2 linked regions of the Cricetulus griseus genome follow. The protein of the gene in region 2 interacts with the protein of the main gene of each other region in a pairwise test. Links are inferred from orthologs where the notes say so. Each region holds a gene or a part of one and is shown on either strand. Other genes may lie near its edges. The genes, in order: Rap1b and Rgl2.

What was found.
Region 1: the proteins of Rgl2 (region 2) and Rap1b interact in a two-hybrid assay, tested with the Homo sapiens proteins (2 studies listed by BioGRID and IntAct). The link is inferred for Cricetulus griseus from reciprocal best matches to the Homo sapiens genes RGL2 and RAP1B.

What each region holds. Positions count from the first base shown.
Region 1 is NW_023276806.1:138,557,900-138,561,706, reverse strand, and holds part of Rap1b (ras-related protein Rap-1b), read right to left. Parts: intron 2,929-3,807; coding exon 2,788-2,928; intron 2,117-2,787; coding exon 1,973-2,116; intron 1,150-1,972; coding exon 1,063-1,149; 3' UTR 1,033-1,062; intron 348-1,032; 3' UTR 1-347. UniProt on the Homo sapiens protein: GTP-binding protein that possesses intrinsic GTPase activity. Contributes to the polarizing activity of KRIT1 and CDH5 in the establishment and maintenance of correct endothelial cell polarity and vascular lumen.
Region 2 is NW_023276806.1:232,082,802-232,087,066, forward strand, and holds the start of Rgl2 (ral guanine nucleotide dissociation stimulator-like 2), read right to left. Parts: upstream 3,048-4,265; coding exon 3,042-3,047; intron 2,857-3,041; coding exon 1,813-2,856; intron 711-1,812; coding exon 627-710; intron 361-626; coding exon 182-360; intron 80-181; coding exon 29-79; intron 1-28. Other genes in the region: Tapbp (tapasin), read right to left, coding at 3,829-3,840. UniProt on the Homo sapiens protein: Probable guanine nucleotide exchange factor. Putative effector of Ras and/or Rap. Associates with the GTP-bound form of Rap 1A and H-Ras in vitro.

The sequences.
Region 1 (3,807 bases), about 94 Mb from region 2:
AGTGGTGCTTTTAGGATTTACATTACTGTACTCTCCAATACAAAGTATGGGGTGTGTTAAAGTATACAGTACACCGTTTTCATACATGTACAACATTGGTGGATGAAGAATGTCTCTTAGCAGTAATACTGGATGTAGCCTCTGGTCTGACCAGCTGCATTCTCTAGAACTATTATATAAGTAAAAATCTCTCGTGACACTGGACAGTAATCAGAATGTGCAAACTGATAGAGTAGCTTTCATCCGCCTCTTAAGGGAACCACCACAGGAAAGTCCGTTTAAGATGTTGGTAGGTTTAACAAAGTTGGAATGCTGGCACTGTTGAATAGGGCAACAGTTCTTCAGACCTGTGGAAGGGAAAGAAATAAACACTGAAATGGTACAACAAATAACATAAGGAAACAGCCAAAGTCTCTTGTTCTAATCATTGCATTAATGACAGCTAAGATATAATTACTTTCCAAATTTTAAAAATAAAAAGAAATTGGAGGTTGAAGAGGCAGCTTAATGATAACGAGCTGAGCCCTGGCTGCTCTTCCAGAGGACCCTGGTTCCATTCCTTGTACCTCTCACCTCAATGCTTCCGATTCGGGCAGACTTTTCCTAAACTCTCAGTTAACATACCACTTTGGGGCCCCGATCATGTGCCATAACAGCACGGCAGAAACCATGGACTCAGAAGCTAGACAATCTACTGAAATTCTGGCTTGGAATTGCTCATAATTCTGGAGTTAAATACAGAGTGCCTGTTTTGTGCCCAGGCTCCTCATCTGTCATGTCTTCCTCAAAGGCTTGTTTTGGAGTGTCTGCCCTGCTGGGGTGAGCAGAGGGACCACTAGTGTAAGTTGCCATGACACACAGGTTTTAAAACTGTCTCTCTTCCGTTATATCTCAATTTATCTTGCTTCTGATGAGAGCTAAATGAAATCTATAGTTTTACTTTCCAGGATTATCACAACAAGGCATGACATCATTTGCTTGCTTTTACGGCAGTCTTTGGAATAAAGTAGGCATAAGAGGAATGTCACATACCTGGCTCAGAGCTACAATGCACCCAGGACATTAAAGCAGCTGACATGATGACTTTTTGCGGGCCTTCCCAGGCACTGGAGTTTTTCTGTTAATTTGCCGCACTAGGTCATAAAAGATCTGCAAATAAATTATTAGTTAGAAGGAGCTGCAGAATTTTATTCAATTCAGTTAGATCTCTCCTGTCCTACAGAGAGGGGGGGGAGGAAAGAGAGAGAGAGCCCCTTTACTGTTTGAGATCTTTCTGTATGCCTTCACTCTACATGGCTTCACCCCCTTCAAGAACCGTGCATGTTTTTCTGAGTTTGAGCTTTTTCCCTCAAATACTCAATGAAATGAATGTTTTCCCACGCTGGCCCTCCTCTGCCCAACTTTCCTTTAACAGTAATTTCACTGTATAAGCACCACAAAGAAGATGAAATATTGTTACTTATTTACATGCATACACACAGTAAGATTGTTTTCTGCCTATAAGAGCACCTATTAACTAGGCATTCTAGTACAGTACTTTCCCATTAATTGAACAGTCTTTAGGATTTTTATTATTTTTATGTGTGTGTCCTCATGAATTCATTAGGCATGCAGAGTTCCAGAGAAGTCACAAGAGGGTGTTGGAGTCTTAGGAACAAGATGGTTAGCTGGGCGGTGGTGGCGTACGCCTTTAATACCAACACTCGGGAGGCAGAGGCAAGCAGATCTCTGAGTTCGAGGCCAGCCTGGTCTACAGAGTTCCAGGATAGCCTCCAAAGCCACAGAGAAACCCTGTCTTGAAAAACAAAACAAGAGTTCCAGATGGTTATAGTTGCCAGGTAGGGGCTGGGAACTGCACCAGGGTTCTCTAACAGTAAGATCTCTCAAAGGCTTAGCCACCTCTCCAGCTGCTTCCCATTAATTTAAAATGTTATATTCAATATAAAAAGCTTCTCAATACATGTGAACATACCTCATTAACATTTATTTTTGATTTTGCAGAGGACTCTAAGAATGCACAGTTGTTCCATTGTCTTGCTAGGTTTTGACCTTGTTCCTTCCCTACAACTCTTTCATCTTCCAAGTCACATTTATTACCAACCAGAATCATTGGAACCTGCAAAGACATTGGTGAGGGTAAAAACAAACAGTTACAAACAATAAAGATCAAGCTATAAACCACTTACAAAAGAGGGAAAAATTATACCACAAAGGACTTAATCACAGTGATCAAAACAACCTTTTAAAAAGGAAGTACAAAGGGTGTTGCCATGAAAAGCCAGCAGATTTCAACACTTTAAAATGTTCAAGGGTGTGAATCAACTTCACGTTTTTTTTTTTGTTGTTGTTTTTTTTTTTTTTTTTTCCTGGTTTCTGAGACATTTAATGAATTGCAAATACAAAAAGGAGAAATTAAGGAGGCCCCAAAAGCAGAAACTTCAGCTTCTCACGGTCTCAGCTTGAACCGCTCACTTTCTGTATGACATGATGAAATACAGCAACTTCGTAAAATTTATTAACGGCATCACGTTTAGATATATCCCATGTTTGTAATTTTAAAAAAGCAGCCCACGGAAAGTAACGCTTATTTTACCAAACCACCAAGGGCCATTTAAAAATCAGCTTCTAAAGTACTTTTGGGAGGTGGAAAAAAATCCAAACAAGGAAAACAAGAATCTAGGCTTTTAAAAGAAATTTAAAAATCTTTTATAAATACTTTAACACAATGGATAGAAAACCAGACCCTCACAAATTCTCATCTACAGAATTGTAGAAAATGATGCTTACATCATCAGTGTCTTTAACCCGAAGAATCTGCTCTCTCAGATCTTGTAAATCATTAAATGTAGACTGTGCTGTGATGGAGTAAACCAAAGCAAAGCCCTGCCCATTCTTCATGTACAAATCTCTCATTGCTGTAAATTGTTCCTACAGTAGAAAGATTAAAAAACAAGAATGTGTTTTGATACAAAAGCAGACCATTTTTAAAACCCACACTTAACAGCTTAAAGAATACTGTAGTATTATATAACAGTTCTTCAAATGATAAGATTATAGTAAGATACCGTCTGAAAATTACATTGTAAGAAAGTTCTTTAAAAATGACGCCACAGCTTTATATACAACACATGCTCAATTGGAACAGACACTATGTTTCTTTTTTCTTTAAAGATTTTATTCATTTATTTATTATGCACACAGCCTTCTGCCTGCATGCCAGCAAAAGGCACCAGATCTCATTCAAGGTGGTTGTGAGCCACCACGTGGTTGCTGAGAATTGAACTCAGGACCTCTGGAAGAACAGTCAGTACTCTTAACTGCTGAGCTATCTCTCCAGCCCCCTGGACACTATGTTTCTAAAGGCAACTTTTTCTATTTTTGTTTTTTTGAGACAAGGTTTCTCTGTACAGTCTTGTCTGTCCTGCTTTGTAGACCAGGGTGCCTCTACCTCCCAAGTGTTGGGATTAAAGGTGTGTGCAACCACAGTCCAGCATTAAAAGCAACTTTTTAACCTATCATAAAGTGTTGAGCACTAGTCTTATTCTCAAGGTACAGTAGACCATAAAGCAGACATTCTGTGGGGAAGTGTGCATTCACACCTGTATCTTACCATTTTTCTACACTTCTTCACTAGGGTGTGGGTACCTGTGGGGAAGAATAGTGTCTGGCATATTTTGGTTTTTCAAACATTGGCTGATGTCTACTGCACAGCCAGAATCTTTCTTTTATTTTTGGATACATACAAACATAATTGGCTGTTATGGCCTGGATATAGACTGGGTAGTCCCAAAGGATTCATGTGCTAAA
Region 2 (4,265 bases):
CTGACTGAGGTGGTCAGGGGCCACTCACCCTGTGGTCCTCTCTAGCTCACCAGGAGGCTGCGACTCGAGGGCTTCCAGCCTGGGGATGAGGAGAGGGTCTACCTATGCGGCCTTTTCAACCCCCGGGCGCTGTGAGGGCTCACAGGAAGTCCAGGAGGCCCCTCAACCCTTGGTCCCTCACCTGTCAGCCACAAGCCCAAGCAGGGCAGGCGTGGAGGTGAAGGCCCGGTGGGTGGCCAGCAAGGCTGGAGTGAAAGTCACGTCAACCCCTGACGTCCGGGCATCCAACAGGTATCTGACCAGGGCCTCCAGAGTGCCAGCGCGGAGCCGCCGGGAGGAACGAGGCGGGGGCAGGGGGGCCTGGAGAACACGGAGGGTGCTCACTGACCTCAGTCTCACTGCTCCATGTCCAGCATAATCCGGACTTAGCTCTTTTTTTTTTTCTTTCTTTTTCTTTTTTTTTTTTTTTTTTTTTTGCCAAGGTTCAGAAAGGACAGGGTCCATGGCTTAAATCACACCACTCGGGGTCCTAGACTCCAGCCCTCCAGCCTAGTGTTCTGGCCAAAAAGAGAGAAAAAAAAGCCAAAGAAAGGGTCAGAGGTGAGAAGTCAAAATCATGATCTCACCAAGGGATCAAGAGGCCGATACTGGCGGCTTGTGACAGTAAAGGTGGCACCATCCTCCTCCTCATCCCACACAGACACAGGAGCCTGGAGGAGCAAGCAAGAGGAAGTCAGGCCCACAGCACCTCAGTCCCCGGTCCCCAGCCACTGTTCCCCAGGCCCTGCTCCTCCCTTTGTACCCCTCACCTGTGATGGCAGGGGACAATACCAGCGAGTACGAGGGGTAGAGGGTGCTGGTGACCCCAGGTCTACCCCCCACTGGGGCTCAGACAGCCCCCCAACCGCCTCAGAGCTCGGTGGGGCAGAGGAGGCTGCAGGCTCACGCCCAAATCCCCTTCCCCCCACAGCTGAGCCCAACACGGCCGAAAAGGCAGGGCGCCAGGAGAGGCACAAAGCCAAAGGCAGGAGAGACCTGAAGCAGGGAGAAGCCGAAACTTCACACGCCCGTCACAGGCCGTCACATGCCCCGCCCTCCCTGACTGAACCAGAGGAGCCCAAAGCGAGTCTTCTCCATAGACCGACTGACTGACTCCCTTTCCCCAGTCTCCCGAACGCCAGTGCGGCGTCCACTAGATCCCAGCACCGGGACCCTCTGGAGGCGGCGGCTCGGATCCCAGGCACAAGAAGGGGAAGTGAGGATGGCGGTGGGGCAGCGACAGACTCAGAGTCATGTGGCCCTAGCCCCTCCCCCGACCAATCCCGAAAAACCAGCCTTGCGGGTCACCTAACTTCACCCGTGCGGGGACCCAGGCCGGAGTCGGTCCGGGGCCTCCTGGGCTCCGAGTCTGACTTCCAGACCCTCGCGGGGCCCCCAGCCCTGCTGCTGGCCACGACGGCTGTCCCTAAGGACGGAGGTGACCGCTGTCCCGCTAGGCCGGGACCGTCTCTCCAGGTGTGCCACCCGAGGCTCGCTGCCCGCACTCGCGCACTGGGGGCGGGGGAAGGGGCGGCGAAACCTGAGGTTTCCCTCCCGAATCCTAGAGGCCGAGGCGCTGGTTACCATGGAAACAAACCCCTCCCCGCCAAACAAGCCGGGGGTGGGGTGGGTGGGGTGGGTGGGGACGGGAGGCAGCGCTCAGACGGAGGCAGGCGCCGGCCGAGCCCCGCAGGCGAGCGGCCGTCCCGGGCCACACGGACCGACAGGGAGGGGAGCGCCTCGGACACCCCGCCACCCGCGCGTCCTCCTCACCTCTGCGTCCTCCTCCTCCTCCTCCTCCTCCTCCTGCCCCCCGCCCTCGGCCCGGCCACCGGGGTCCCCACCCTCTTCGGGGTCCCGACTCCGGAAGCCGCTCAGCACGACTCCCCGGGGGGGCTCGTGTCCAGAAGCAGCCGCAGGGGCCGCGGAGCATGGCCGGGTGCAGCGGGCGAGCGGGCGAGCGGGCGGGCGGGCGGCGGGCGAGCCGCGCGGGCTCAGGCCATGGGGGCGCCGGCGGAGACGCGGGCGGCGGGCGGGCGGGTGGGGCCGGGCGGCCGGGGCCCCGCGGCGGGGTCGGGGGGGGAAGCCGAGGTCCGGCCCGGGGTCGGGGTCGGGGTCGGCGGGTGCTCCGCTCTGGCCTGCTCGGGAGGGGCGAGCGAGCGGCTGGCGGTCCCGGGGCTGCGCTCCCGCCGGGCTCTCCGGGCCTCCGCCTTTCCGCTTCCCCCGCCCGCCGCCCGCCCGCCCGCCCGCCCGCCGGCCGGCCGGAGCCAGGAAGGGAAGGAAGTGAGGGCGGGAGCCAGGGCGGCCGCCGCGGGCAGTGCGGGCAGTGCGGGCCGGACCCCGCCCAACCCGCCGTCCCCGCGACCCGACCCGGGGACTCGGGAGCCCGCGCACCGCAGCGCAGACGCGCGGGACACCGGGGCCCTGACGCAGGCCCCGCGGGAGGGCGAGCGCGGAGCTGCCAATCTCTAACGACAGCGCGCCCGGGTGGGGGGCCCGGTCCCCGCGGGCGACACTGCCCACCCGGCTCCGAGTGCACCCCAGCGAGTCCGCCCCGGGTTTTCCGGGCCGCCCTTGGGCCCGCCCGCCCTCGGGACGGGGCCGGAAGCCGGCCGGAGAGGCGCCCGCGGCGGCGTTTCCGTCGCCCGGGTTCCGCTCTGGTCCGTCGCCCCCCGAGTCCGGGTCTCTCGGTGCGCGCGCAGTTCCTGCGGTGCCGGTGTCGCCCCGGCATGGGGGGATCGGGGAGACCGGGGAAAGGCGGGGCCGGGAGGCGACCCAGAGGCTCGCTGTGCTCGCAAAGACGGCGGGACGAGAGACCTGCTTGGAAACTTTATTGGCACACGAACAGACAGGTGCCCCCCCGGGAGGGGGGGGACGGGGACTCCGGGACCGTCGTGAGCCGCCCCAGAGCCCCCAGCACAGCACGATGACACTGTGACCTCTCGTGCTACGACCCTCTAATGCAGTTTCTCATTTTGTAGTGAGCACAACCACCAAATTACTTTCATTGCTACTTAATAATTGTAATTTTGCTGTTTTGAATTCTAATGTTTCATAACATCTGATGTTTCCGATGGTTTTACAGGGGTCGTGACCTACGGGTTAAGAACCGCTGCTCTAGATTTTACAGTGGCGCTTCTTAACCCCGTGGCTCTGAGCGACTGCATAGTGTGTATATTATAAATATATATATATATCGTAAATATATATATTTATATATGTATACTTTTTAGTTTTTCAAGACAGGGTTTCTCTGTAGCTTCAGAGCCTGCCCTGGAACTCACTCTGGAGACCAGGCTGGTCTCAAACACAGAAATCCGCCTGCCTCTGCCTCCAGAGTGTGGCTGTCTGGCTTTTTTTTTTTTTTTTTTTTTTTTAGTTTCAATAGCTGTAGCCCACATAACAAAAACTCTCTGGGCTTCTTGGTCATTTTTAACATGTATCAGGACCCAAAAGTTTGAGAACCACTGCCCTAGAATCTTAAGAATGCTAGATGTATGCTTAAACAAAAAAATTAACAATCATCGAGGCACAGTGGCCAATGCCTTTGGGTTACTCCAGGGAGGCAGAGGCAGGCGGATCTCTGGGACTTCGAGGCTGGCCTGGTTGGTTTGGTGAGGCCCAAGCCAGCCAGGGCTAAAACAAGAAAACAACAACAAAAGTAAGACATAGAAAACCCCAGCCACTGGATGGAAGGAGAAGACGACTTGAAGGGATGACGTTTAGGGGAGGAGCTCCTGGAGTCGTTTGGGGCAAAACTGAGAGTGGCGTCCACTGATCTGAGTTTCTTTACTGTGACTTCTGCAAGAGAAGAAAGAAGTGGAGAATTTGAATTTAGGCGTAGAGTGAGTTCCTCCTGGTTAATCTAGAAACATCCTCATGGTGCTGGCATTTCCCACCTGCCAGACACAGTGTTGAGTATTCTACAAGAGAGGGGCCATCTTCTCAAAGGCCCTTTGGGTCATCTGAGGTCAAGCAGACTCTACTCCTGGGCTGCACTCTGAGCTTTGGAATTTCTTACATTGTTTACATGTTTAAATACTCTGGGTATGTAATATTCAAGCCTTAATGCAGGCTGCACAATGGTCCCCCTGGCCATTGTTCTTTCACAATTTGAGAGTTTTCCTCCACGACGGTCCCTTTACTTTGATGGTACCCTACTTCACTCTGCAATAAATTCTGATTGTCTTCTGCACTTAAAAACTTATGCTGGTCAGATGGCTCAG